Tamandua tetradactyla: one gene and its partners. The protein of the gene in region 3 interacts with the protein of the main gene of each other region in a pairwise test. Links are inferred from orthologs where the notes say so. Each region holds a gene or a part of one and is shown on either strand. Other genes may lie near its edges. The genes, in order: PRKAA2, AEN, HOMEZ and ELOA.

Evidence for each region.
Region 1: the proteins of HOMEZ (region 3) and PRKAA2 interact in binary tests that used the Homo sapiens proteins (3 or more experiments, as listed by UniProt). The two-hybrid records come from large-scale screens. The link is inferred for Tamandua tetradactyla from reciprocal best matches to the Homo sapiens genes HOMEZ and PRKAA2.
Region 2: the proteins of HOMEZ (region 3) and AEN interact in binary tests that used the Homo sapiens proteins (3 or more experiments, as listed by UniProt). The two-hybrid records come from large-scale screens. The link is inferred for Tamandua tetradactyla from reciprocal best matches to the Homo sapiens genes HOMEZ and AEN.
Region 4: the proteins of HOMEZ (region 3) and ELOA interact in binary tests that used the Homo sapiens proteins (3 or more experiments, as listed by UniProt). The two-hybrid records come from large-scale screens. The link is inferred for Tamandua tetradactyla from reciprocal best matches to the Homo sapiens genes HOMEZ and ELOA.

Annotation. Positions count from the first base shown.
Region 1 is NC_135328.1:164,519,892-164,527,456, forward strand, and holds the start of PRKAA2 (5'-AMP-activated protein kinase catalytic subunit alpha-2), read right to left. Parts: upstream 3,003-7,565; 5' UTR 2,955-3,002; coding exon 2,861-2,954; intron 1-2,860. UniProt on the Homo sapiens protein: Catalytic subunit of AMP-activated protein kinase (AMPK), an energy sensor protein kinase that plays a key role in regulating cellular energy metabolism.
Region 2 is NC_135338.1:96,585,320-96,592,196, reverse strand, and holds the start of AEN (apoptosis-enhancing nuclease), read right to left. Parts: upstream 3,006-6,877; 5' UTR 3,004-3,005; coding exon 2,944-3,003; intron 2,883-2,943; exon of another isoform or gene 2,754-2,882; intron 640-2,753; coding exon 52-639; intron 1-51. UniProt on the Homo sapiens protein: Exonuclease with activity against single- and double-stranded DNA and RNA. Mediates p53-induced apoptosis.
Region 3 is NC_135340.1:31,582,708-31,590,698, reverse strand, and holds the start of HOMEZ (homeobox and leucine zipper protein Homez), read right to left. Parts: upstream 3,019-7,991; 5' UTR 2,944-3,018; coding exon 2,886-2,943; intron 1-2,885. Other genes in the region: PPP1R3E (protein phosphatase 1 regulatory subunit 3E), read right to left, coding at 7,945-7,991. UniProt on the Homo sapiens protein: May function as a transcriptional regulator.
Region 4 is NC_135328.1:202,486,099-202,493,305, reverse strand, and holds the start of ELOA (elongin-A), read left to right. Parts: upstream 1-4,188; 5' UTR 4,189-4,270; coding exon 4,271-4,345; intron 4,346-7,207. UniProt on the Homo sapiens protein: SIII, also known as elongin, is a general transcription elongation factor that increases the RNA polymerase II transcription elongation past template-encoded arresting sites.

The DNA of each region.
Region 1 (7,565 bases), on a different chromosome or scaffold from region 3:
CCACAATGAAATATCATTTCATACCCACTACAATGGCTATAATAAATAAGACAAACAATAACAAATATTGAAAAGGATGTGAAGAAATAGTAACCCTTATATATTGTTGGCAGGGTCATAAAATGGTGCAACACTTTGGAAAACAATTTGGCAGTCTCTCAAAAAGTTAAACATAAACCTATGATATAACCCAGCAATCCCATTCTTAGATATCTACCCAGGAAATATGAAAACATAAGTCTACACAAAGACTTGCATGAAAATGTTGATAGCTCCAAACTGAAAACAATGTCCATTTACTGGCAAATGCAGAGACAAGATGTGGTGTAGCCATACAATAGAATATTACTCAGCAATAAAAAGGAATGAACTACTAATAGATGTTACATTATGCATGAATCTGAAAAGCATTATATTAAGTTAATGAAGCTAGACACAGGCATCCCCCATACTAAATTATTTCATTGATATAAAATGTCTAGAAAAAAACAAATGCACATAGACAGAAAATAAATTAGTGATCCCTGTGGCTGAGGGAGGGAGAGGGGCTGAGGGTGGGGTAAAAATATTCTAAAATACATTTACATTGTTTGCACCACTCAGTGAAGTTACTAAAAAATCACTGAATTGTACATTTGATACGGAAGAATTTTATATGTAAAATATACCTACCTCAATAAAAACTGTCTTAATAGTTGCATGTGCTTTTGTTTTACTTGTCTCTTGAGCTAAATGATTAAAATTGTAGTAATTTCTGTAATTTTTATTAAACAAACCATTGTATTGCTTCTAATCCTGGATGAGAAGCCACAGGAAAACTTTAGAGAGGCTCTCACAGTATTAGGAGACCTGCTCCAACTAGTTATTCACTAGAAAGGAGTTCTTCGGGAAAAGGATTTCTCAAAAAGCAAAGCTCCATCTCTTGACTTATAATTTAAAAAGCTAACGCCTGGCAGCAGCTTAAGAGCATATACAAAAGAAATTTAAGTTGCCCCTTAACAATGGGGCTGATGGATGGCCTACCCTACATTCAGATTACAGTGTAGGAATTTTAAAAAGACAAAAACTTCAGCACAATTTGAAAGTACACAGTAAGTTCTATAACTTCAGGAGTCTACAAGTCCAGATGGCAAAGGAGTTGTTTGCTTGAGTAACTGTATAATGTTATAATACAATAGTCCTCAGTAACATTACAGGTGTAAATACAACTCCAGATCTTCCTATATTCGTTCTAAATACATTCTCCTAACTATCCACTCTATGAGGTTTTTCAAAATAATCTAGGATTCACAGTCTTAATAGAACTTCAAAGAATTTTGCAACCTTCTTTAGAACTTGACTCAACCACGACCTTGTTTGTGAGGTTTTGCCTGAAAACTGCAAATCCCACAAAATTACCTATCCTCCCTTCCCTGCCTCGTTTTTCTCAATAACACTAAACATATTGTATACTTAACGGATGTATTTTGATTATTGTTTGCCTTCCCCTCCTAGAAGAATGTGAGCTCCATGAACACAGGGATTTGTATATGGTTTCTTTCCTGCTGTATCCCACTGCCTATTAACAGTATATAGCACTTCGTAGATGCTCAATAAATGTTTTCTGAAGAAATGAATGAGTATCAGATATATGAAGGCAACAGGAATTCATCAGCAAGGAGCCTCTACCACCTATTTAGCAGCCTGGACTTCAGATTACAATATGAATTTTTACTAGGAAATAGAGATCTCACAATAAAAACTCCATTTTGCTTCCCAACATTTCTACAAGGGAAAAAAAAGCCAACATTTCACTAATAATTTTGTGTTTGTAACAAAGAACTATTAATAAACTGGTTCTGGTTTCGGAGAGAGGGCACGTTATTAAATCCCAGGTGACTCTTATAAACGGGGTGGGGGAAAGAAAGTTCAATATTAATTCTAAAAGGAACCAGTTCTACCCCCAAAGTGGGACCCTATCACCATGAGAACAGACTTCAGTAGAATCTGCTTGAGCAGCTCTGGCACTCTCAGTCCCAAATCCTCCAAAGTCCAACAGCGAGGAACCTCTTTCTCTCCCCCTTTCAAGAAGCCTTCCCAGAATCATTTTATACACACCAATCGACCTTCAGACCTCGCGGTTCTAATTTACGCCCAGACCCAACCCAGCTGCATTCCAGCATTTCACACGTCCGGGAGATTCCCCATCTCTTGGTCCCTGAGGCATCCCCTAAACAGCCAGTCCCACCAACAGAGGCTCGGGGAATATTAAAGAATCTGGAGGTGGCAGGGACCTCCCAGCAATGCCAGAACTGGGAGACATCTTAGACATCCTCTCCTTCTGCCAATTTTTGTGTGACCTTGGGCATTCTACTAAACCTCTGGGGATCCGAGTTTTCGCCCTCTTTCCAGTGAGGATAACGTCTCATCATACTGCTGTAAAGACGAAATGACCATCACATGTTAAGCACCTAAAACAGGGTACCTGGAACGGATTCGAAACAATAATCAGTAACGTGTATTATTCCCTAGTCCTATCCAAACAGTCTCGGAGCTGTAAGGCACCTTACAGTTCTTGCTCCAACTCCCAGTTTCACAGAAGAGGAAAACTGAGTTCCAAGAAAGAGCACCTTGCTCCAGACCACTGGAAAGTCTGTCCCCCAGCCCACACCCCGACCCCTCTTCACCAGGTCCCAACCAGGTTCGAGCCGCTGCTGCTTCGGGAGGCGGTGGCGCCACCTCCCCGGAGCCATTGGGTTCCGCGCGGCCCCGGCCGCTCCACCTGCCTTCAGGGCCTGTGCCTGCCCGGGGTTCCCGCGGCTCTGCCCGGCCTCCCACGTGTGAGGCTGCCCCCCGCCACGGCCTCGGTGGGATACTCAACTCTTCACTTTGCCGAAGGTGCCGACGCCCAGAGTGTCCCCTAACACGTAGTGACCGATTTTCACCCGCCCGTCGTGCTTCTGCTTCTCAGCCATCTTCGGCGCGCGCAGCCTTGCTCCGCAGGCTGCTCAGCGCGGACGCCGCCGCCGTCTACCCACAGTGCAGCGGGACCTGCGGGGGGGAGGGGGGCGTCGGGGAGACGCCGAGCGGCGAGCCGCGGCTGGCAGAGCGGGCGCGGGTCCCGGGAGGAGGGGTTGGAAGTGGGCCGGGGCCCGTGGGAAGCGCGGAGTCTATGGGCTGGGCGCGTGGAGTTGCGGAGGGGAGAAGGTGAGGTGCCCACGCCCGGGGCGTGATGGGTGTGTGAGCGCTGAGCCCGAGGCGGCGAAACGGCTAGGCGGCGAAGGTCGTTCCCCCGGGCGAGGAGGGAACCGGCGCTGGGGACTTGAGGGAGGGCTCCGAGCAGGGTGTGGGGAGTTCAAAGGCGGGCCGAAAGCCGGCCAGGGGCGGGCCACGGTGGCTCAGCAGGTAAGAATGCTTGCCGGGTTCGATTCCCGGTGCCTGCCAATGTAAAAAAAAAAAAAAGAAAAAGAAAAAGAAAGCCGGCCAGTAGTGCGTAGCAGTGGATGAAGGGGGCAACACCCGGGAGTGGGGGGAGGGACCTGAGGGTCAGTGGCCTTTTAGGGCTGAAGGGCGCCCGTAGGGAAAACTGAAGAGAGTGAAAGTGTGAGGGAGAGATTTGGGAAGAATCCTAGGGAATGGTGGAAGTAGAAGTGAAATAAAAGGAACAGGCCCAAATTGTGGGGAGGGAGGGATGTAAACAAATGGGGGAATAAGGAAATCGGGGAGCGCAAAGGAGGTGGTGGGAAGGGCCTTGATCAAAGGGCAGTTTGAGGAGAGCAGAAGGAAAGTTTTCTCTAGGCGTAGACTGGCTGACTTTTGATACAGGTCATGGTACAAAGAGAACCCAATTCTGTGCTCTCTTCAATTGTCCTCCTTTATATATTTCGTAATTCTCAGTGATTTTAAGAATGGAAGGGATCCTCTCCTCCAGAGCTCTAAATTTTAATTTGCACAATTTTCCAATAAATCAGAAGCACAAATATTTCCTCGATTGTATTTTAGCACATTTCTGTAAATATATAGTACAGGAATAGTATGTGATAGAGCTTTACAAGGGGAAAATAGTGAAAGAAATGAAAAAAGGAATGTAGTGAGCATAGAATGTAAAATACATAAGGGACAAACAAATTTGGAAGAGCAAGGGCAGCATAAGGGCACAAATCAAAGAAAGAATAAATGTGATGAAGGCGGTAGTGAAAAAAAAAATGATAAAGGAAACCAGAAGCATGATACCCAAAGAGAGTATTCAAGACTGACAGAGAACTGGGAAATGAAGTAATTATCTCTTCCTTCCTCCATTTCTTCCATCCTTAAGTACTGTCCTATCTTTCAGTATTTAAGATTATTTGCTGTTTGGGAATAAATTACTGACGATTAGTTGAACATTTATAATGTATATGACCTTAGGGTTTCAAGGTCACATTCCTCATACAGGAAGTCTATCACACTGTTTATATGTGTGATGAATACATCCTATGAAAGAATAGGATGTAAGAAAAGTTTCCTTTCTGAGAAGTGCTAAAAATACAAATGACAAACATTCATACATTCATTTTTATATAAACACCCAAAACAATCTGATGAAAAATGATCACAGCTTATAAACTATAGGTAGCACAGCTGTTGAACAGAGGCTATTTTCCTTCATTCCTCAGATCATTTTTCTTGTCAGTAAGAACTGTCATTTAAAAATCACTCTACTTAGGTGGCAATTTGGAAAAAAAAATAGACCTTTTTTTGGATGCTGAATTTTCATTTGGTGAAGTCACTCCTTCAGTATTCTCTGAAGTGAGTAAGAAAACAAAATACCTATTCTGCTTTTAAGATAAAATATTTGTCTCTCTTCTTTTAACATCCCATTAAAAGATGTTGAAAAGTCTTCCCATTTAGGTTGCTTTTAATGTGCATGAACAGACTATAAATGGGATTTTTATAGTATTCTGTGCTGTCATTAACTATTTGTTGATAATTATAACTTACATTACTACATACTTCATACCTGTGATCATACTAAAGCTACTATGGACAACCTTGTAGCATTATTGTTATACCAAAAATGTATATGGGACTTTGTTGATTCAAAAAGCACATTTAAACAAAACTATCTCATTTAATTGTCATAAAAGAAACTTATTATCCTCATTTTATAACACCGAGCTTTTTTCTTTATGATTTGCGAAAGGCTGAACGCATTAGGGTCAGAGTCAGAACTCCTATCCAGCTCTAACTTGTCCTTTTTTTTCTACTCATAGCTACTTATCAAAAAGCACATGTGGTCTAAGAAAGTTTTACATTTTCACAACAGTACCATTCTACTATTTTTGTTATTTCTAGGGTATGCAAATAATATACCCTTTAAATAACAGGGTATAAAAATAACAGGGTATAAAAAAATTTTTTATAGTTTTTTTTTTAGTTGTTATCCTTATTTACAAGAAAAATTGAATGTGAAGCAGGGAAGAAAGGCGAAAAAGGACAACTCTTTGTGAACGTTGTCAGCTTTTGTTGTATTGCCCTGAATATGTCAGCTGTGATTCCATATTTGCTTCACTCTGCAAGCAAAACAAAACCCAGCAGTTAATCAGACCAAATTTCCTAAAGAGCTATATCCCTTGATGGTCTAACCCTCTAGACTTTCTAGCAAATACAATCTTCATTATTTCCTAGGAATGTTTTAGTGTCCCTATATTGTTTAGTACCAGTCTCTAAGATGCCCCAGCTAGCTGTTCATTTCTTAACCCTGGCCCAACTGTTACAACTTTATCCTCCTCTGAACCTGTGCTGGTTTGAAACGGTTATATACCCCAGAAAAGCCATGGTCATTTTCCTAATCCAGTCCTATGGGGGCTAACCTATTGTTTGGGTGGGATTTTTTTTATTAAGTTGTTTCCATGGAGATGTGATCCACCCAATTGTGGGTGGGAACTTTTGATTAGGGGGTTTCCATGGAGATGTGTTTCCACCTATTCAAAATGGGCCTTAATCCACTTGCTGGAGTCCTTTAAGAGGGAATCATTTTGAGAAAAGTTCAGAGCTGACACAGACGGAGACATTTGGAGATGCAGAAAGAATATGCCCCCAGGGAAGCTTTTGAAACCATAAGCCAAAAGACCAGCAGACGCCAGCCATGTACCTTCCCCAGTGATAGAGGTGTTCCAGATGCCATCAGCCTTTCTTGATTCAAAGTATCTTTCCCTGGATGTCTGAGTTTGGACATTTTTATGGCCTTAGAATTGTAAACTTGTAACTAAATAAGCATGCTTCTTAAAAGCCATCCCATTTCTGATATATTGCATTCCAGCAGCATTTGCAAACTAAAACAGAGCCTTTGGGGTAATTTTACTTTGTTCCAAAGCAGGGCCTGAATAAGGAGAATAATGACATCCGAATATCTAAAACACTATACTAGATTCCCTTGATATTATCAATAACCAATTCCTTCTTTGCTCTGAGTCATCTAGGTGAAGTGAATTCTGAACACCCTATTTAAAAGTACACTTTCGTCTCACCCAAGGGCCTGCGTGCTCCATCACCCTTACTCTCCCCAACTGCTTACAGTTGTCGTCACTTTCTAATATGCTATTTAGCTTATTTATTATGTTTTTGTTTTGTGTGATTCCCCACAACTAAAATGTTACATTCCCAAGGAGAGGGGGTTTTCTGTTATATTCACTGATAAATTCTTAGCTCCCAGAACAGTGCCTAGTAAATTGTAGGCACCCAAGTGGATTCAGGTTATCTGCTACCTGGTGTTTATACACTTTGGGGGATTTGTTTAAGGAAAAAATACAAAACTAAGTATGCAAGTGAGTATTTATGTGAAGAAAAAATCACAACAATCTACAGATTTTTAAACAACGGATTTTATAAACATCTCCAAATCCAGAAAAATATTTTTATCAATTAACTACTATCAACATACCTCTACAATACTTGTTCTCTACATTTTTTGCCAATCATCTTTGATTTCCTCTTGATATTTGTAATATTTTTATAGAGAGAATAGAAAGATAATTCAATGTTTTCTCTAATCAAGTTTTTGATTATATGTTTCTCTTTAGGGTTCCCATTACACTCACATAGCTACTATAGCATTTGTCAATTCTATTTATATGTGCAAACATTATTATTATATTAATATTTTATATGTATTTTCATATTTTTCTATATATTTATAAACATATGCATAAGAAATATACATATGTTCATGAACAATGTATTCATACCCTATCTGATATCTGATGTCCCTCAGAGCTAGTGAAACCTGGTCCATCATTCCAAAAATGTTTGTTGAATTAAAATAAAGAAAAGGGTGACTTAGTAGAAAATCAAAGAACACAAATTTAGGGAGGAACACTTCAAAAGAGAAATCAAAATTAATACATACTAAATAAAAAGCTAATTTCACATCTCAGTGTAGTAGTCATTTTTAGTGAGTTTGGAGGTAGATATGAACCAGAACATGTAGGGCTGTTCTAGTGTGCAAGCTGCCAGAATGTGATATACCAGAAACAGAATGGCTTTTAAAAAGCAGAATTTATTAAGTTGCAAGTTTACAGTTCTAAGGCCATGAAAATGTCCAAATT
Region 2 (6,877 bases), on a different chromosome or scaffold from region 3:
CTGCCTCCGCCCTGCCGGCCTGCCCCGGGCCTACCCTCGGCCTACCCTCACCTCCTTCTGGGCCTCCCGGAAGGGGATGGCTTTGAGCATGTGCTGCCGAGTGACGCCGCTCCAGCGCGTGCGGTAGTCAGTGACGGGCATCTCGGGCCGGATGTACTTGTCGTAGAGAACGTCGCCGTGGTAACTGACCACGGAGCAGCGGGCCAGCTCGCTCACCCGCCCGTGGGGGCCCGTGCCCACCATCTCACAGTCGATAGCTACACACTTGCTGGGCAAGGGCCCCGTGGCTCCTTGGCTGCACGCCGCACCGCCACACTCCACCCGGGGACGCCGCCTCCTGCTGCGCACAGCTTCCGCACTCGCACTCGGCAGACCCTCCGGGTCGGGCCGGGGGGAGGGAACTGATTCTGAGGGGGCGCTCAGCAGCCCCTGCTCCTGCAGTAAGGCCTTCCGGGCCATGAACCGCTGGTGCTGTCGGCTCCTCCTCTTGTGCTTTCTCCGAAGCGCATCCTTGGCATTCAGGCCGGAGAGGGGTGGGCACAGATACTGGGCAGCCTCGGGGGCCTCCTGCGACACCATCCCAGCTGGCTCGTGGCTCTGAGCAAGTCTTGAAAGGTGGCCTTCCAACAGTGCGGCACCCTGGAGAGAAAGCATGCAAGCCAGGAGGGCTGGGTGAGGGCGGTGCCAGACAGCCCCACGCTTTATCTCAGGGCGCCCAGAATGAGCAGAGGAACTAAAAGCAGGTGCTGCTCTTCTGCATCCTCCAAAAGCCCTTTGGAACAGTCCCTTCGTCTACTGGGCTCCACAGGATATGCCACGCCGTGGGCCTCTAGGATCCCCCAGCTCTGTGCCACGCACTGGACAAAGAACCACTACCAAGAGTTCAGTCTGTAGCCACCGAGGCAGAAACGTTACCAGAAAGCATGCTAAGGGCCGAGGGAGAGGTCTAGGGAAGCAGAAAAGGCAGTATGACAACTGTGGGGAGGCTTCCTAAGAGGTTACATGTGCTGCAGATCAGTCACTCTCCAGGTGGAAGGGAGAGGAGGAGTTAGTCCCTCGCTAGTGGCAAAGGCCTGGAGGAGGGACCCAGGATGGAGGGAGGAGGGAAGAGGTTTCTGAGGTGTGAAGCACAAGTTGCACCACGGGCGGGAGGGCAGGGGCTGCTCCTTTCCCCTTGTTTTGCTTGGTCTTTTGTCCCCCTCTCTGGTGGTCCTCCTATCAGCCACTCCACAAGCTTCCCCTACCCTAAACTAGTCTCTGCTGGGCAAGTGAGTGAAGGTGCCCCAGACCCTGACCCAGGACATTTACAGCCTACCTGGGGAGCAAAGAAAGTCACCCCTGTGTGCTCTCAGCACAACCAGAGAAGAATTTATCACACTCTTCAAGCTAGATGGTTATGTACAGTCGACCTCTATCACCAGTAAATCAGAGCCCATTTGCCCTGCCACTTCCCCAACAGCCAGCCTAGGAAATGGCACACAGCAGACCCTGCTTCAGAAGTGTGCGAAGGGAGCTTAAGTCAGGTTGCTATTTCCCAGAGAGTAGAGTTGACCGCCTGGTTTGGTGGGAAGAGATTAGCTGGGCAATTATACAATGTGCTCGGGATGGGAGCAGAGGGATGCCTTCCCACTGCTGGTGAGGGGAGGCCTGGCAGTGGAAGAGGCACGCTGAAGGGTTCCAGGAAGGTCTACTGGGTAGCCCAGGAAAGGAAGGGCATTCAGACAGAAAACACAGAGGCAAAGCATACCATAGTGGGGGGGGGGGGGGGCACTGAGTTGGGTGCAGCAGCTGAAAAGCAAGGAGATGGGGGTGAGGGGAGGGGTGGAGCAGGGCCAGTGACAGGGAATGATCCCGGAGGGTGGGTAAACTGGGGCATAATCCAGAGAATGATGGGGAAGCACAAGATTTTTAGGGAGAAAGCAACAGGCTCACAACGGCCTTATGGGGAGAGTCTGGAGAAGATAAGAATGTGAGCAGAGATTAAGAGAAAAGGGAAAGGGAATGGGGAGAGGAGTGGTGAAGTGTCAGAGTCTGGTGACAGGGTGGTATGGGGTGAGGTCAGCATTCGCATGAGCAGGGCTTGGGGTGCCTGGAGAAGGCCCCATGAACCACCCTGACTGATCCACCCTCCCTGCTTGTTCACCCCTTCTCCCTCTGAATTTATAACCACCTTCCTCAATATAGCCAACTCACTGATCAGGGGTGACAGAATGCAGACCCTCAACTTGCCTCAGCCCAGCAATGGGAAGGACAGGACCCTAAAGGAACCAGGAAATCTGAACAGCCAGAGGCTGGGGGCTACCAAGCAAATGGCCGGTGAGGAGGCCGCAGGGTCGGGGGCTCTCTGCGCTCAGCGGCGAAATGGACTGCGCCAAGTCACCGTCCCTTCGGCGTAAACGGAGGGTGCTGATAGGACAGGGGCTTCCCTGACGCACTCAATTACCAGAAGAATCGGGACGGTTGTTTACAGCGCCCGTTTCCAGGCCCGGCCCCGCTGCCTTACGGCCGCTTTTGGGGGCGAGGCCTGAGAATCTGCACTCTGAGCCCGAGCGCCCCCCCGCCCCATGATTTTAACCATCGCCCCAGTTTGGGAAAACTGGGCTCGAGAAAGGCCCCTTGTGCGATTAAAAAGTAGGAGGGTCGGGAAACTTGGAGAAGAGCTCGGGGCGCTCACGCCCTCGGGCCGCGTCCGCCCAGCGCTGCCCGTGGGAGGCCGGCCTCGCCCAGGGAAGGGCCGCGCGTCGCTCACTTACCGGCCCGGCGAGTCCCGCCGCCCATCGCCGCCTCCTCAGGCCCGGGACCCCCGAACAGGCCGCAGAGGGCGGAGAGGCGGCGCCGGAGGCCCGGCTTGCAGCCCCACAGGCCCGGACCCCACGCGCGCGGCCCCGAGGCCCCGCCCCAGACGCCCTGACCCGCGCCCCCGCGCGCGGAGCCCGAGCTCACCTGCCGCCCGCGCGCCGCTTCCGGTCCGCACGTGGCTCCCGGCAGCCGGCGGGGCCACATGCCCGGGCATGCCCGGGGTTAGCTGCCCGCCTATTGGCTCCTGGAGCGACAGCGCCCGCCTAAGGCCTCCTCCGATTGGCCGGGAGCCTGCCTCGAGCTGGTTGGCTTAGACAACCGGAGGGGCGGGGATTCCTTAAAGGGGCGTGACCTGTGTCCGGAGCCCACCGAGCTGGCGGGAAATTTTAAAGGACCCGGAAGGGAGCGTGTGCACCGCTCGTCCTCCTGGCTCCGGTCCCTCCCGCCTCTTTGGACGGGATGTGGGCTTCTGTGAGCTCCCTGTCCCGAAAGCCGAGTGACTCACAGAGTACATACACTTCTGCAAAATGCGGTTAATCACCCCCACCTACCTCGCAGGTTGTAGGGATTCAGTGACATGATACCCGTGATGGGAACTACAGGAAGTCAGGTTTGCTCCTTCGGCGCTCGTCTTTATCAAGTCTCTGTCACCGGCTGGACACCGAATACACTGAACAACCTCAGTCCTGACCTCAGTTGCTCAAGTCTGGCCGGGGTAACAGGCAGGTTTACAGAGAATTCAGTGCAACGTGAATAATAACAAGAACAATTGATAAACCGCATTGATTGTGTGAGCACGAACAATATACTTATTTATTCTGCATGGGATTCTTATGCAGTGACTATTTCCGTTTTACAGTTGAAGAAACTGACAAACAGCTGGAGTAAAAAAAAAAAAAAATGACCCATACCAACTCCGTTTGGCCCCAGATTTGCAAGCAGGAGGACAAGGCAAAGGCACTCAGAAGTCCAGGGGTATAGACAGAGGAAGCTGCTCCCAGCCATATCTGACTGAAGTCTAGACTTGAAGGAAGCAGATCATGGGAAAAGGATGCGAGGGAGGTGTGCCAGTTGGAATCCGTTGTGTACCACAGAAAAGCCATGTCTTTTAATCATCATTCAGTATTGCTGGGTGGGATCTTCTTGATTGTTTCCATGGAGATGCGACCCACCTAATTGTGGGTGGTAACCTTTGATTAGATGGTTTCCATGGAGATGTGTCTCCACCATTTCAAGGTAGGGTTGCCTACCGGAGCCTTTTAAGAGGGAACCATTTTGGAAAAAGCTTAATAGCCACTAGAACCGACAACCCCCCAGGGAAGTTGTTGAAGAAGCCTGGAGAGAAAGCTAGCAGATATTGCCTTGGGCCTTTCTAGCTGAGAGAGAAACCTCAAATGTTATCAGACTTCTTGAACTAAGGTGCCTTTTCCTGGATGCCTTAGTTTGGACATTTTTATAGCCTTGCCTTAATCTGGTGATTTTCACAGCATTAGAACTGTAAACTCGCAACTTAATAAATTCCCCCTTTTCAAAGCCATTCCATTTCGGGTATATTGCATTCCGGCAGCTTTTACAAACTAAAACGACTCCTGAAAGCTTTGGGGAACCTGGAAGCTTTTGGCCTCTGCTCATTCACCAGCAGGTTTGCATTTTGGAAAGCTCACACTGGCTGCGGTATAAGAAGAATGGATAAGGCTTGGAGGAAGAGGAGTTGGGAGGTGAGCATGGAAATTCAGGCCAGAGAAGACAGTGATGGACAGAATGGTGAAAGAAACAAAGACGTAGGGACAGATTAAAAAACTACTTAGGACCGCCCGCCCTCCTTCTCCCCTCTCTTTCTCCGCCGGCCCGCCGCGCGGCGCCCACGCCCCGCAGCAGCCGACCCACCCGCCCTCCTTCTCCCCCCTCCTCCCCCTCCTGCTCCAGCCGCTCTCCAACCACCACGGTGCCCTCTTCCCCCGCCTTCACCGGCTCCTCCACCACCAGCCTCTACAGCCTTGCCGCCCTCACCTTTCCTCCTCCAGAACAGCTACTGGGGGAGTGGAGATAATACAGAGCAGCTCCCGGAGTCACGAGGGAGATCAAAGGGACGGCGTACCCCATCCTGGAACGGCTGACTATCTGGGAGAACCAGCTCCGGTGAGATCACCAAGGGGCACGGGCTTTCCTGGGTGGGACGGCAAGCGACCGGAGTCCCTCCCTTCCACCTTCCCAGGCCAGCTGGTAGAATTGGACAGGCGGTCTCCTTAGGCCGCGGCAGCTGGTGCCCCCACCACACGAGGCCCCCCGGAACAACTGAGATAGTTGGGTCGGAAATCCCCAGACTGTGGAGAACAGTGACCGGGGGATCCCTTCCAAACACGTGACTCCCCCGTTGGCTGGGAATAGTGCACTCTCCCGGGCTGCGACAGCTGGCGCCCTCCCGCCACGCTTGGTGCCCCAGGTCGACTAGCTAATTCGGCCGGACGCTCTCCCGTGCTGCGGCGGCCGGCGACCCTCCCCGCATTCGGAACCCCAGGCCGGCTGGCATTCTTCCAAGACACTTCGGCTGCTGAACCTCCCCTACGGCGAGAATTTTCCAGAGTTAAAGGACCCACAGCAACTTTCACTGGTGGAACCCGTAGACAAACGTGTGCCACGAGCGCCACCTACTGGGCAGGATAAGAAAAACAGAACCCAGAGATTGCACAGAAAAATCTTTCAACCTGTGGGGTCGAACACCCAGGGAACTCTGACTAAATGCCCAGACGCCAGCAGAAGATAACGGATCACGCTCAGAAAATTGAACATATGGCCCAGTCAAACGAAGAAACCAATAGTTCAAATGAGATACAGGAGCTGAAACAACTAATGCTGAATATACGAACAGAAATGGAAAACCTCTTCAAAAACGAAATCGATAAATTGAGGGAGGACATGAAGAAGACATGGGCTGAACATAAAGAAGAAATAGAAAAACTGAAAAAACAAACCACAGAACTTATGGAAGTGAAAGATAAAGTAGAAAAGATGGAAAAAACAATGGATACCTACAATGACAGATTTAAAGAGACAGAAGATAGAATTAGTGATTTGGAGGATGAAACATCTGAATTCCAAAAAGAAACAGAAACTATCCAGAAAAGAATGGAAAAATTTGAACAAGGTATCAGGGAACTCAAGGACAATGTGAACCGTACAAATATACGTGTAGTGGGTATCCCAGAAGGAGAAGAGAAGGGAAAAGGAGGAGAAAAACTAATGGAAGAAATTATCACTGAAAATTTTCCAACTCTTATGAAAGACCTAAAATTACAGATCCAAGAAGTGCAGCGCACCCCAAAGAGATTAGACACAAATAGGCGTTCCCCAAGACACTTACTAGTTAGAATGTCAGAGGTCAAAGAGAAAGAGAGGATCTTGAAAGCAGCGAGAGAAAAACAATCCGTCACATACAAGGGAAACCCAATAAGACTATGTGTAGATTTCTCAGCACCATGGAAGCTAGAAGACAGTGGGATGATATATTTAAGTTACTAAAAGAGAAAAACTGCCAGCCAAGACTCCTATATCCAGCAAAATTGTCCTTCAAAAATGAGGGAGAAATTAAAACATTCTCAGACAAAAAGTCACTAAGAGAATTTGTGACCAAGAGACCAGCTCTGCAAGAAATACTAAAGGAAGCACTAGAGTCAGAACCGAAAAGACAGAAGAGAGAGACATGGAGAAAAGTGTAGAAAGAAGGAAAGTCAGATATGATATATATAATACAAAAGGCAAAATGGTAGAGGAAAATATTATCCAAACAGTAATAACTCTAAATGTCAATGGACTGAATTCCCCAATTAAAAGACATAGACTGGCAGAATGGATTAAAAAACAGGATCCTTCTATATGCTGTCTACAGGAAACACATCTTAGACCCAAAGATAAATATAGGTTGAAAGTGAAAGGTTGGGAAAAGATATTTCATGCAAATAACAACCAGAAAAGAGCAGGAGTGGCTATACTAATATCCAACAAGTTAGACTTCAAATGTAAAACAGTCAAAAGAGACAAAGAAGGACACTATATACTATTAAAAGGAACAATTAAGCAA
Region 3 (7,991 bases):
AGAGATACGAGCTCTTCGCTGAACTGCCTGGGTCGCCAGTAACACCTCTGCAGTTTTTTTCTCCAGTGGAAAGCTCCAGGAATCCTTCCCAGCCTGCGCACGCTTGGCTCCTTCTCCAGCGGAGGCCCTAACTGTGCCTCTAGCAGCGTCAGTTCCAAAGAAGGGCCTAACACAACGGGGAACTTGTTCCCCAGATGGATCAGATGTCTTAGCACCCGGAAAGACGAGGATCCTAGGAGCCGGGCGCCTGGACACGCTGGCACCAGACAGGTGTTCTCAAAGCCTGCAGAAGTCACCTCGTCGGAACCGCCAGATCCACAGAACCCCTCCTTCCTGCCCTGGTAAAGAGGACCTGGAGATCTGCCTCGTAATTGGGGGACCTTGGTCTCCGAAAGGGAGACAAGAGCACTATCTCACACACTACAAAGTTCTAGACCAGACGTTTGTATATTTAGGATCTTTGTCTTCTAATTAAAATTTAGGAATAATATCTTTCAGAAGTGTCCCTTCTTTTCTCATGTGGGGCTTTGAAAATGTCTTTTACCTGTTTAGATGATTTAATAGTTTATATATCTACAATGGTTTATAAAACTGCCTCAAACTTTGCCCTGTGTTCTGCATACCTCAAAACTCTTCCCTCCCCCCGCCCCCCCCCCCCCCCCGACCCACCAGGGAAACATTCCTCATTGGTCCGCTCAGGTCTAGAGCGCTTTCAGAGTTGCCAGACAAATACATCTCTGCTTCAGAGTTGAGCTCCGTTTTCCATTGTTGGCCCTGAATTTTCCCGTCTCTCTCCTCTCCTTAGTTACATTTAGTAACAATATTCACTTCTACCAGCCAGTCCCATGTTCTTCAAACTAATATCCAACAAAAACAATAGAAAACACATACTAAGCTTCAGAGTTAGAAACTTTTGGTCCCTCAGGGAAGGAGCCGAGGTTGGTGGTATAATATACAGACGGTCTTCCAAATCGTGACTATTTCAATACCCCAGTGCTTTGTAACTAACAGGAAGGAAGAGGGAAACGTTTTAGACAGCAGCAGCCTGCAGTTTCCAGTGGGGAGATCATTCCTTTAAATCCAAACAATTAAATGAAACTGTATTGACTGGGAGGAACTCGTGCACATTTGACTGGAAAGCCACGCAACTGGCTGTGGGAACTAAGCACCTGACCCTGACGGGTTCAGTGACTCACTCTGGACATCACTGATCATGGGCTTGGAATTGTGAAAGATGAACAATTCAGCTCCCTTTCTTGTGTCAGAAAGATTACACTTGCCAGAGTTGGGAGTGGAGGGAGAGTCAAAGACAAATTTAGGGAAGAGGAGAATATCTGGAATGCAGGGTGAAGTCTCTTTTATGTAGGTTTCACCCTGAAGCTTTAGAAGATGGCATGGATGGGATGGGGGAGTACAGGGAGGAAAAGGTTCCGTTTGATACTTCAGAGATGGGAGGATCCCACAGTTAGCCAGACAGTAACCCTCCCAGTTTTTCCAGGGATTAGTGTTGAACAAAGGAGATTCATCAGTTCATCTTCATTGTAGAAAGGTCAATCCCCCATTTTAGGTGAAAACATTCTTCCCTTTGCTTGATTCAGATAAGCAGGGGCTAACCAGAGGCATATCTATCCTGTGACTAAGGAAGTTGAAATTTCAGGGCCCACACGTGCACAGGCTGGAAGAGCCCCAGAAATGTGTTCACATGATCATAGGTTTTTGTAAAATCTCAAAATTATATATTTTAACTGCAATTGGCTAAGATTGATGACTCTTTCCTTTCTGATTTCGCCTTCATCCCACTTCCCTTTTTGTCAGGTGGCAATGGAAAGGCCACAAGCATTTGAGAATTGGCTAAGGAAACTGAGTTGGGGATACACCTAGTTTGGATTTAGTAACTATATTTATGTGGTTTGCAGTTCTGTGAATAAATTCTTATGTAGATAGTTTCCAGGAATACTCCTAATGTCATTAATTCAAAGGGCGTATAACATTAGTTAGTCATTGCAAAGGAAAATTTCAAATGCTCTAAAATATTAGATCACATATATAAAAGAAATTTGACAGGTTTTCCCAAAGTTGACTAAAGTCCTAATTATTTGTGACACTACCACTAGGTATGAAAGTGAAACTTTTCTAAACTACCAATAATAATTTTAAAATGTGATCAACCATGGGGCGGTGTGATGGTGGCTCAGTGGCAGAATTCTCACTCTGCCACGCCAGAGACCCAGGTTCGAATCACAGTGCCTGCCCATGCCAAAAAAAAAAAAAAAAGTGATCAACTACAAAAAGATTCAATTAACTCTAGACTTTCCAAACAAAACAACCATCATATGAAATAGCTATCAAAGCACACACAAAAAAGTAGAAAAAATGATATTCTGTAGGTTTACCAAGCAGATAGTTTTTAAAATCTTACTTTTGTGATATTGTGGTATTTGTTAGCTTTCATAATTTGTTGCTATATTTTTTCATTTTGAAACGTTCACTTCTATGCCTAATTGTGTATTAGTAATATGGATTCATTTTTCCTTAAAAGGACCCCCAAAATTATATGCTCCAAGCACCCAAAAATCTGTATCTATCCCTAGGGCACCAAATATATATGGTCAGCTTCTGCCCCACATTTAGGGGACCTCTGGCTCCAATGTTCTATGTCCTGTCTCCTAAGAAAATCCAGAGCCAGAGGGAACTGAGGGCTGACTGATCAGAACTACAAGTATTGAGGATTTGAGCTAACAAACCCAACTTTGAAGAGTCTGTAGAAGATATATTTCAGACAAACCTACTGCCAAACTAAGATGTGAGAAGTCTGGAAAAATATTGGGGCCACAGGGAGACCCTAAGCAATGAGCCATGGAAAGAACCATAGCGCTCCCACTTACCTCTCCTTGGGTACCTGCTCCTCATGCTGACCTTACCCTTCAGCATAACTGGCTTCATTTACAACACATATTGAAGGGTGGATACTCTACAGTGACATCACAACTTGGTCATTATGATGCAATGAGGAAGTATCTCATTTTTCTTTGGCTAGGGTTTCCCTAGTAGGAACATTGTCTCACTACTTTGTGGCTAATTGGGCTCTTTCATCATTCAGTGATGTGGGAGTCAACACTATGTTAGAACATGATCTTTTCCAAGGACTCCTCCCTTTATTAGTCAGTCCACTTCTCATACTCCATTCTGAATTGGTCATAGTTCCTTGACTTTTACCTCTCCATCATATTTCTCATTCTTGCTTTAGAGTTGACCTTAATTATACGGAAATGAGTTTTACTCTTCCTTCCAGTGCTTGCAGAACAGAATTCAACTCAGATGGCCCATACCCAAGGGAAAACACTTTTTTTTCCCACCAAGCTGATCCCTTTAACTGCACCAGTTGCTGGTGTGGGTGCCAGAGAACCAAAGCACTAGATTTCTGAGTCTGATAATTTTCCTGCTACTCAAACGGTAGTGTGATCTTACCGAGGTGTCTTATATCAGGACTGCCCAACTCCTCTATCTCTTTGCCACCCAACTTTTCCATCTACAGAGGAACAGAATGGGAACAGGATTTTAAAGAAATGAGATGACAAAGAAGAAATGGAGGAGGGCATCTTGCCATCTTTAGCCCCAAACAAAGAGTCCTTCTTAATATCTTATTACTTTTTCATATTTCAACTTTATTTCAAAAATGAGTTTTTTTTTTATCTGACAGAGCTGAAATGAAGTCCAGCACTAGTGGGTTTGGACATAGTGGACAGGACTGCACTGGGATGGGGGTGGAGAGGCTCTGTTAAGTGGTTTTCAGGGGTTCACATAACAACTTTCATTTTTCCCCCCCAGGTTAGCTTTCCAACGGGTTGATGCACTGCTCTTTAGTAACGTCACCCAAAAGAGTGCCAAGACTGGGAACACAGTGAAAAGTATATGTCCACTTTGTTTCTCCTCAAGTGAATAGGGGAGGGAATGATGTACCAGCAGAAAATGAAACACGTGTTCATTTATGATGTATCCCTTGTCATGAAAAACAGTGTGTCTGACTGTGTAGAGGCCTATTTCCTAGTCTGGGGATGGGATGTGGTCAGGATGTCTGGGTTTAAGCCCCAACTGAAGCTGCCCTGACAAATTCCCTGACCATTCCCATCTTTGGACCTATGTTCTCATCTGTCCAGATGAAAACTGTTCTCTAAAGACAAGCTTTTTCCTGTCTCTGATTCTATGATCTGGGGGTACAAGGATCCAAAGGAACCTAAGAGAAACCTTAGGGTCAGAACCAAGGGAATATGGGAGCTAGATTGGGAAGCTGAAGAAATGATGAGCTACATTCATGAAGAAAGATACTGGAACAAAAGGAAAGCTATGGAACAGGTAGATGGGCAGGAAGACATCTGAAGTCTGGATGAGAGCAAAGGACAATAGAGTTATTGCTGTGTTGCTTCAAGGACCAAAGTCCCTTACCACAGTAATGGTTTTGTTTCTGGCAATTCCCAGTTCATGGCTGATATGTGGCATCCAAAATTTCTCCTGTTCATAAAATTATCAGCTTTTAGAGAAAAGTCCCTGGCACAGTGCCTAACATTTTAACACTTAACAGGATCCTTAAAGATCCTACCAAACTCTTAGTGTTTCCCTTGTCGGATTAGATCGAACCAACCTTGAAGGAACAATGGGGGAAACTATCAGCTTAGCTCACATGCCAAGACAGCTCAATATTAGAAAAATCAGAACTCATGTGTTTGTTCTATACCCTGAGAATAGGGGAGGAGATGAGCCATGGTGCTTCTTACAGAGAAAGAGCTCAGTATGTCCCAAATCAGAGCCTATTTACCCACTCAGTATTCCCAGGGATCCCAAAGAGAGCCCAATCACATACCATCCGCAGTTGTCCTAGCCAGGGACTCTTCTAGCAGGAACTGTGGGAACTGGCCTATTCAAGGCTAGGGAGGGAGGGAGGGAGTCATACCAACAGGCAACGAGAGCCAGCTCGGGCCAGGAGAGAATTCCAGTGTAAGGGAAGGCAGGAGTTCAAATGAATTCCCTAAGTTCTCTAGCAGCAGATGGGGTGAAAACTTGCTAATACTGCACAGAGCTCAGGTGCAAAGAGACCTGGTACAGGAAGCAGCAGCAAGCTCCTGGGAGGAGTAGATGAAGCTTGGGGCCCTTGGTACTTTGCCTTCTCCAGGCCAGTGCAGGAGCCTGGGAGGATGGAAATGCAAAGTGTGATCAGAAATATAATCTCCTAGTGATGATATTGTGAATTACTGATTATGTATGCTGTTTTGTTTTATTTATTTTTTTAATTAATAAATAAATCTTAAAAAAAGACGTAATGGAGAGGCTGGAGGGAACTGCCTAGAAAAAAAAAAAAAGAAATATAATCTCCTAATAAGAGATGACATATGGCAAGGTTTTTAATTTTTTTTTAAAGGAAAAAATATATAGCATCATAGTTATGCACATAGGCTCTGGATTCAAGATTTCCTGGGTTCACAATACTAACTCTGTCATTTACTATGTGACTTTGAGCACATTACTGAGCTTCTCTAAGCCAGTTTCCTCATTTCTAAAACGGAGATAATGATATAACTTAACTCACATAGTTGTTTTGAAAACTAAATGAAATAATGCATGCAAAACACTACTAGATTTTAGCAGATGTGTTAAGGAAGCGTGACCATTTCTATTGTTAATACAACATTAACAGTAACACATACACATAAGGCAGAGATTATCACACAGAGTCTCAACCCAGTCTCTCTCTCTCCATTACCCTCCTCAATGATGGCTAAACAGTGCATTACTTGGAGGCTTCCATTACAGTTTCTCTCTTCACTCAGCTTCAACTCTGACCCAAAGGTGATCCACAAGATGCATAAAATTCTTTCTGTATTCTTCATAAGGTGATAAGGATGATGTTCAAATGAGCATTTGTTCAGAGAACGACCCATGCTTCCTCTCTTTCAGCCACTTTTCTTCAAAGGATTAAGGCTTTGGACAGGAGGGACATGTAACAAGCCCCATTCTATTCTGAATGCATGTGTGGGCACATGCACATATACACACATTCTCTCTCTCTCACACACACACACACACACAGTGATAAGCAAGAGGTGATCCAGAATTTTTTGAGAAATCATTAACAGAAGCAGGGAAGGGGATGTGGGGAGCTGGTTACCTGGAGCTCTTTGTTCCCGTCAGGACATGCTGCCTCTTTTCCCTCTTCTCTTTTCTAGAAGACTTTCAAGAAGCCTGAGAGAGGAAAGTGGTTCGACCATGTCTTGGATTAAAGGAAGTAGTTTCTTCACTCCTTCTGGAGGCAGAAGGAATAGCAGAGATCAACAAGAATGAAGGGGGCAAATGGAAATAGAGAAAATGAAGGTAAATAACTCTGTATGTTAAAGGGTGTGTGTGGGAATTATGAGAAGGGACAAGGAAAGATAAAGCAAAGCGCTTAGGAACAGAGTAAGAGGAAAGAAAAAACAAGCAACCAGAGGAGGAAGCACTCTCATTAGAAGGTTAAGAAGGAGAGACAAAGGGCACGAATGAATGGGTAGAATAAAATGGTCCAGCTTTCCCACTTCACTCGCTCAAGCCATGAAGCAGACTGCCACCTCCTGGTGCCATTGAATTTTCAAGTTGCCTTAATTCTTGACGTGAAATGTTTTCCATTTATTATAATCCTTTTTCCTCAAGAGAGCCCCCAATATTGTTTCATCTTTGGGGTTTCTGAGCATCTCTCCAGAGCTGTGGCAGAACACCCAGACTGGGAGTCTGTGGGGCAAGGACAAAGGCAAGGGGCAGATGAGCTGTGGATTGGAAGAAGCCTCGGAATACCCTGCGGCTGTAGGCTGCTTCGTAGGCTCTGGAACACGTGGGCCAAACACTGGAGGACCATCCACGGCCCTGCCAGACACTCCATGCTCTATGCAGACCTACAGCCATAGGTTGTTAGAGTGTCTTCTAAACTAGGCCCTCCCATTCCCAGATCATAACATGTCAATGCCAGGAGCCTTATAGAGATCACCTAATCCAAACCCAATTTCCCAATGAAGAAACTAGTGCCCAAAGAGGTGAAGTTAATTATACAGCTAGTCAGTGGTTTCCTTCTCTTCTGTAGCAGAATCAGAATAGTGATTCCCTTGATTCACTTTCTCTTGACACATGAGGTCCATAAAGTGCTTAAAGAGCATCAGAAGGCATCCCAGAAAGGTAAGGCTGGAGTTTTTCTGGAAGCCCCTGAGTGTACCAGCCCCTTATTTGGATACAAGGACAGGCCCAGAGTTGCTCTGACTCTATTTTAAGTCCTAGGGCTGCCTGGAGTCTGAAAGAAGCTCTAACTGGTACTTGCCATCACTTCCCAGCCGGTCCTTGGAGAATGAAGCCAGGAACCATCAGGAGTGACAAGGGAATCCTACCATGTCAGGGAGCCGGGAGCAGTGGCCAAGTTCCTGGGAATAAGCAAGGCAATTATGGCTGAGTAAAAGCTAGGGTGGGCAGGGCCGGAGGACCTGAGGTGGCAATGGGTATAACAGTGAGCAAGCAATCTATATAACTTCAACTGGGGTGGACTCTTCACCCATACTTCCTAAATCCCAAAGAGGTAACATAACCTTCTACTGGGTAGACTTGACAAGCCTATTTACTTTCGTCCCAGTGCCCACTGACAGAAGAGAAGGGCAGCAGCATCCCCGTCCATTTGGCTTTTTTTCTAATTCCTTAAACGTCCTGTCCGATCTCCTTTCGCCTGTGCCTTGGGTTCCTTCTACTCATATCTAACCAGCAATCTCATATCTAACACCCCAATCTCCCCAAACTTCGTTGGTTTCTCCCCTTCTCCCCCTGCTCTTTTTGGTCCGCTCCCCGCCATCCGCGGTTTTCCCCACTCCTTCCCGCCCAGTCTTCGGGTTCCCCCCGCCCCCCCGGGTGCCTTTTCCCCTCCCCTATGTCGGCCGCCTCTTCTCAGATAAAGTGGATCCAGCCCTGAGGCTCTGGTGCTCCGCCACTGC
Region 4 (7,207 bases), on a different chromosome or scaffold from region 3:
TCTCTCCTGGCTTTCGGTTTCATGAAGCTCCCCAGGAGGCATTTTCCTTCTTCATCTCCAAAGGTCACTGGCTGGTGGACTCTGTTTTATGGTGGTGCAGCATTCTCTGCTCTTTCTGAGTCTCTTTCTCCAAAATGTTTCCTCTTTTATAGGACTCCAGTAAACCAATCAAGACCCACCCAAATGGGTGGAGACATGTCATCACCTAATCCAGTTTAACAACCACTCTTGACTAAATCACATCATCCAGGGAGATGATCCAATCACAGTTTCAAACATACAGTATTGAACAGGGTTTATTCTACCTTTATTAATGGGATTTTGGTCAAAACATGGATTTTTCTAGGGGGCGTACTTCCTTTCAAACCAGCACATTCCACCCTCTGGCCCATAAAAAAGACATGTTTTCCCCATATACAAAATACATTCATTCCATAACAATATCAGAAATCCTTAAACCATTTCAGTAACACAAAGTTAGAAACAGTACAAACTCCTGTCAAAGTTAGTTACAGGCATGGTCTGTTCTAAGGCCAAGTTCTCCTCTGGCTTTGGACCTTTGAAAACTCATAACAAGTTATTTGCTGCCAACATACAAAGGAGGAACATTCATAAGATACATATACACATTTCTATAGGGAGGAAGGAACACAGGGGTCACTGGACCCATACAGTTTCGAAAACCCGCAGGGCAATATCCATTAGATTTCAAAGTCTGAGAGTCATTTATCTTCAGGGCATCTGAAAGCGGCAGTCCCACCCTTTCGAAGGGCCTACACAGCGGCCTGCCTCTCTCTGAATGCAACCTTGGGGGACACTGGGGAGACCACCTTTTTCTTGGCTCCACCCTCTCCAAGCATCGGGGGTGCACCCGGGCTCTCTGCCATCTCTGGGGAACACACTCAACCCCTCCATGTGGTGGCAGCCAGGCTCTCCCCAAACCCCAAGGAATGTGCTTCACCCTCTCCAAGGCCTGAGGTGGCATGACTCTTCCACTGCAACGAGGTGGAAGGCCCATCCTCTGCCTTTGGGGCAAATTCACCCTCTCCATGGGCTTGGGTGGGTCCATTCTCCTGGCCCGAGTCTTCTTGACTTCAGACCTCAGCCTCCATGGTTTTGCCTCTGAAGTTATTTTTCCTCCAATGTGTCCCTTCTCTGAACCCCTCAGTCCAGACTGGCAGCGGCTCTGTTTATACAGGTCCCACAGCACTCTCATTGGCTTTCTATGCAGTAGCCTTGGATCATGCCCATCAGACATAAGGCGTTTCCACAAATCCTTCCTGGATAACTCCATGTCTAATCCTGGCTTTCTCTGAAATGGCTGACTGGTTCCACATTTGGTTAAATCCTCACACAGGGTGCTATTCTCTGGGGTCTCCCTTTCTGGAGGCCCAGAATTTTCCAGGACCTCAGTTTCTGGTTTCTTTTTACTCAAGAATTCAATTCTCAGCTTATATCTTTCCTGTCGCATTTCACTATAAGCTGTGAGAAGAAACCAGGCTGCATTTTCCACATTTAATTTGGACATCTCTTCTGCTAAATATCCAACTTCATGACTTTAAAAATGTGCCTTCCAGCCAAAGCCACTAGTCAACTTTGCCAGATTATTTGCCATTTTAAAACAAGGATCGCCTTCCTTCCAGTCTGTAATGACACATGTCTCATTTCTAAGACTTTATCAGAAGTGTCTTTAGAGTCCACTTTTCTACCAACAGTCTCTTCACAGCACTCTAGGCCTTCTCTATCAAGTTTCTCACAACTCTTCCAGATTCTTCCCCTTATCCATTTAAAAAGCCGTTCCAACATGTTTGATATTTGCAAGTCACAGCAGCAGCACCCCACTCTCGGTACCAAAATCTGTTCTAGTTTGCTAGCTGCCAGAATGCAAAATACCAGAAACAGAATGGCTTTTAATAAGGGGAATTTAATGAGTTGCTAGTTTACAGTTCTGAGGCTGAGAAAATGTCCCAATTACAACAAGTCCTTTCAAACCAGCACAGGACTCTATTTTGGATTTCCTCAAGACTGGGCAGTTGTTGATCAGTTTGACCAGTTTTGCTTTGCCTTTCCTGATTATCTTCAGAGTGTGCTTTTACCCCAGCATTTACTTTCTACTTTTCATCACTACTTGGAGCCTAGAGTTGATTGACTCAAGCGACTTTTTCATCTTCTTTGCAGCCACCATCTTCCTGCCTTAGGTGTGGGATGGGCCCAAACCAAGGGCAGCTGCCAAGATGGCCAAGGAGCTAGAAAGGCCAGAGTAACATTTTTAGAACTGGTTAAAAACATTTTTTAACTAGATATTGGAACATACACAATTAACTGCTCATCAGAGTATTTGTGTATTTGAGTGTAAAGAATTCTTTACTTTCTAGGCAACCCCAACTCAGTCTGACATAGATGGGGAGGAGGGGGTGGGGCACCCTCTCCTGGAGCCTTCAGCAGCATGATAGGAGAGGAGCTGGGCATGCATTGTTTCTTTTTATTCTGGTTGTTGAGCCCTCTCTGGGTAACATGCACACACACACACACACACACACACACACACACACACAAAGTTTCATGGATCCTGAGTATTTATGCCAGGTCAGTTAGTCAGCAATTCTTCAAAAACCGTCCATATTCCATTACACCAGTGACTGTCTGATCACCACATTTTCAAAATCGAAGGAATTTAAGAGATTGTTCCATGTAAAGGCAATTGTTGTGCAGAGGAGGGAGACTCCCAGGGGAGGAAGGGCTGGAACTAGAATCCAACTCTGCTTACACCCAGTTTGATACCTTTTCCATTACAGCCCATGGCTTGAGTCTTAGGGCAACAACTGAGAAGTCATTAATCTTATATAGACTTTTTATCCAATGCTGTTTATATGACCCAGTTTGTGTTGGGTGGCAGAGATTCAAGGTTGGACAGGTCATTCACTATACTTGATAAACAGCCCAGTGGCAAGACAGAGGAATAAATGCACAATTTACCTATAACCTCCAAAGGGCTGGTTGCTGAGGGAATTCAACAAGGGGCACCAAGCCAAAAGTCAGGGGATGGTAGGATGGCTTCCTAGCACATTGAGTGAATGAATGCTTATCTGAAGAAACAACTTATATTGAGTTATTTTTTCCAGAGTTAGGACTTGGAAGAGTGGCCACTGGATTTTCCCACTTCGAGTGAGAGGTCAGACCAGGTGATTGCTCAGCAGGAGATCTGAATAGGATCCAATCAAATTTTATCTAATCAAATGACACAATCAATGTTGGCATTTTAAGTTAAGGCTATTGCTCTTTTTAGTAGTGATAATAATAGTAGTAGAAAATTTAGTGCTTCTAGGATGAGTGAGTTGTGTTTTGCATTGGTCTGACTTAGGCCCTATTGCTGATGGGCATGTCATCAGAAACTGTCATTTCTTCATTCATTCATTCAAGAAGTATTTATTTGGTGCCTATATACCAGACACTGCTTTGGTGAGAAAAGAGACACACAGGCTATTATAATCGCTTCCTAGGACTAATCGGTTTGACTTCAGACATACCTCTTTGTTTCTCTAGGCCTCAATTCCCTGGCCTCTTCAGAGTTGTGCACCACTCTGGACCGAGACTACTTAGATTCAGATTTTGGCTTCATCTCCTTCCTGTTATGTGACCAGGTTCATTTGGTCACCCTGAACCTTAGTTTCCTTACCTGTAAAATGAGTAAAATATCATAGTGTTATCTTGAGGATGAAAATAAGATAATCCAACCATGGGCGCACAGTGCTTATCCTGGAGTGGTCGCTATCATCGACTCCTGCTGACCAAACGGGACAACCCAGTTTCCCAGGCTCCTGAGGCCCCCTGACAGGACCACTGACAGGTGTTGATTACATCTCGGGCTGGGGGCGGGGTGGGGGGGGGAGGGTGATTGGCTATATAAGACTCGGGTCCGGCGCCGGGGCCTCATTCCATCGTAGCCTGCACGCTGGAGAGAGCGTCCCAGGCTGCACCCCGAGGACCAGCAGCAGGGCTGCCCGGGGTGGCCAGGCAGGGCCGGCGTGCCCCGACGAGCGGTCCCAGCGCCTGGCACGCACGCTCCAGCCAGGGACTCGAGGCGAAGGGCGACCGGACCCCAGGTTCTGGGGGCGGGGTCTGCGGCGGGTCAGCCCCGCGCCCCCCGGCCGAGGCCCGGAAGGGGCCAGTCGCGCTTCCGTCTCCGCCGGGGCCGCACGGAGGGCGGAGCTGCGGCCCGAGGACGCGACGCGAGCCCAGTTCCGGCGAGGAGGCCGCGCCAGTGACAGCGATGGCGGCGGAGTCGGCGCTCCAAGTTGTGGAGAAGCTGCAGGCGCGCCTGGCTGCGAACCCCGACCCCAAGAAGGTGAGCGAGGGGGCGGCGCGGCGCAGCGCTGGGCGTTGGGCGCGGCGCGGGCCCTAACGGTCGCTGGGCGGGCTCCGGATCCCGCGGGCGCTCGGACCCTGGGCCAGGCCCCGCCGGGCTCGCCGACCCGTGCGGGGAAGTTCACGGCGGATCCGCTGCGCCCAGCGCGGCGGGACCCCACGGCGGGCGTCGGGACTCGGCGGGCCGGGCCTTCTCCACCTCCCGGCCTCGGGGTCGGGGGGCGCCCACGGGCGCCGCGGGGAGGGGGCGCGCTCGGGTCCGAACCCCGCGTGTCCCGAGCTGTCGTCCCCGCGGGTCCCGGCTGCGCTCCCGCGACGCCCCCTCGGCACCCGCGCCCGCAGTTCCCGTCCGGAGAATTAGCTCCTCGCTCCCCGGCACTGCGCCGCGAGCTGCGCTCCATTCCTCTCCTTGCGAAATGTCTGATTTCTTGGTGTCTTTTGATGTTTGTTGGGAGAGGGAGGCGGTGTTGTCTTTACGGAATGGAGCCCCGGCTCGATGCGTGTGTGGTCCTGCGGTCTCTGAGACATTTTTATTGCTTTCCGGCTCTATATTAGAACATTGACCTTTTCGCTTTCTCAGTGAATCCCTTTCAAAACAAAACGAAGCCTCCCGTCATCACAGCTGAAGTCTTGGAAACTTAGGTGTAATTGAGAAAATATATCTGGCTTTGTTAGAAAGCTTTGATCTATGGTTTTTCGTTGCTGCGAGTGATGGACAACCATTTTTAATTGTACCTAGTTAGGTTAAAAAAAAAAAGTTAAATACAGTCGTTTCCTTTTCTGTCTTTCTGTTACCCAGATTCTTGATAGCCTTTGGAGAGTGTCTGGTGGATGTAAGAATGTTTTCATTGAAATACATCAATTAAAACACTTAAGGTGTTTGACATTCTCCTTCAGCATTCTAGCGAGGAGTTGAATCTCTGAGCTGGAGAGTCCCATTCCAAAAATTAATCCAGGCAGGCCATTGAGATAAATGGTGGAGAGATTTGGTTTCCAAACCCATCTACCAGCCTTTGGGGATTTTGGGGGAAGTTCTCTTTACTGAGTTTGTGCCCTCACCTGCTTTTGGTTCCTAAGCGAAAAGTCTGTATAAAACTCCAGGCTCATAGTTAGTGTTTAGTGGACAGTAATCACCACTCTTTAGCTTTAACTTGTTTCTTAAACTCTTTAACTTGCTCCTAAGCTGTCATAGATGAAGTTTTCTCCATTACTAAAGGCTACAAATAGTCTCTTACCATCAAGTCACTTTCAGATTCTCTTTATAACCAAGCTCAAAGATCTACTTCTTTAGTGAGCCATTTTAATTTCAAATATGACAACTTAATTTCTTCAATTGTGTTGTGTTTTTCTGTTGGAGCTTTAGTACCCAGTGGCCAGGCATATTTACAGGTTTCTTTTTACAATAACCCTTTGTGGGCATCTAATAGATGGTCATTATTCTGAGTACTAGTTTGTTTTTCTAAACACTGTAAGGGTTGTGACTGATTTTTAAGTCATAAAGCAATATTATGTAGCCACTCCCTCTGCAATTTGGTCTTTATTTCCATCAGATAAAAAATGATCTATGTGTCATCTGTAGTCATGTTTCCACTAGGATTTAAATTTGGAAGTAACTTTTCTCACAGTTGGTTTGCTTGAAATATGAAATTAGGAAAAAATTTGTTTGGTTTCTCATTCTACCTGAAGTATTAATGATTTCTGTAAGCATTTGGACTTTCTCTTCCCAGATATAAAATCATGCTGAACATATGGCTTGGCATTGTGAAATGAACGTTATGAAGATGAGAAAACATTGGGAGATCATGTTTGCAAAAGGCATGATAGTTGGCATTCAGAAATGGGCTAAGTGCAGAGGGAAAATTGCAAGCTGGCACATTGGCCTTCCTCTCAACCTTCTGTTAATGCAACAAGCTCCCACAGGTTGTTTTTGAAATTGCAAGATGATTAGATAGCAGTATTAAATTTGCAACCAAATCCTGAATTCAAACTATTATTAGTCAAACGTTTGATTCCACACCTATGTTCATGTATTTTCTGATATTAATTATTGGTGTCTAACTATAACTCCATTTCATTTTTAATTCCATCTGTGAACTAGGCTTCCTTGGGGAGAAGTTACCAGGCAGACCTAGGGCACTTGGTTTCTGTTCCTACTAATTGGAAACAGTTTTCATGGCTGATACAGTAATGTAGCAGTACTTTTAAAAGTTACCTGTCTGTGTTACATTTTGAATGCTGAAACTACAAAGAACACAGTTCAGTGGCAGTTGGAGAGCTAGAGGTCAAGGGTATGAACATCTTTTGCTCTTTGGGTTTGAAAGTGTGTGTGGGGGGGACAACTGGAATTCCTAAGCTTATACTGTGCAAATGTTTGACGTTTCACAATGATCTGCTATCAGTTCTACAGTTGATCTCTTGGTTTGATAACAGCAAGCTCCTGCCTGAGGTTGTCTAAACACATAACCTTGTTATTGCTCTGTTCTTTCTTGAAATTCTTTGAAAATTGTAGGACCAAATATGTTTGAAAATCTTGGAGGTTTTAGTTTATCTGCTTCGAAATTGCGCCTGCTAACCTGAATTGAGACAGTGTTAGGCTTTGAGATAAACATGCCTTCAGTGACTTCTGGCCTCATCTTTCTATGTTGGCTTTGTAGAGGTCCTGGGACTCTGTTCCCATGGTGACTTCCTTTACTGTATGGAGTCTAAACTGCTAAATAATGTAAAAGTGAGGAGAAGTTGATCTGCTTTGTTCCGAATCTGCTAAGAGGCCTATGAGTTACTGCTCCGTTTTCTGCTGCTGCTTCCTAAGGATAGCATTATTATGTTGGACATTTCTCCTGGC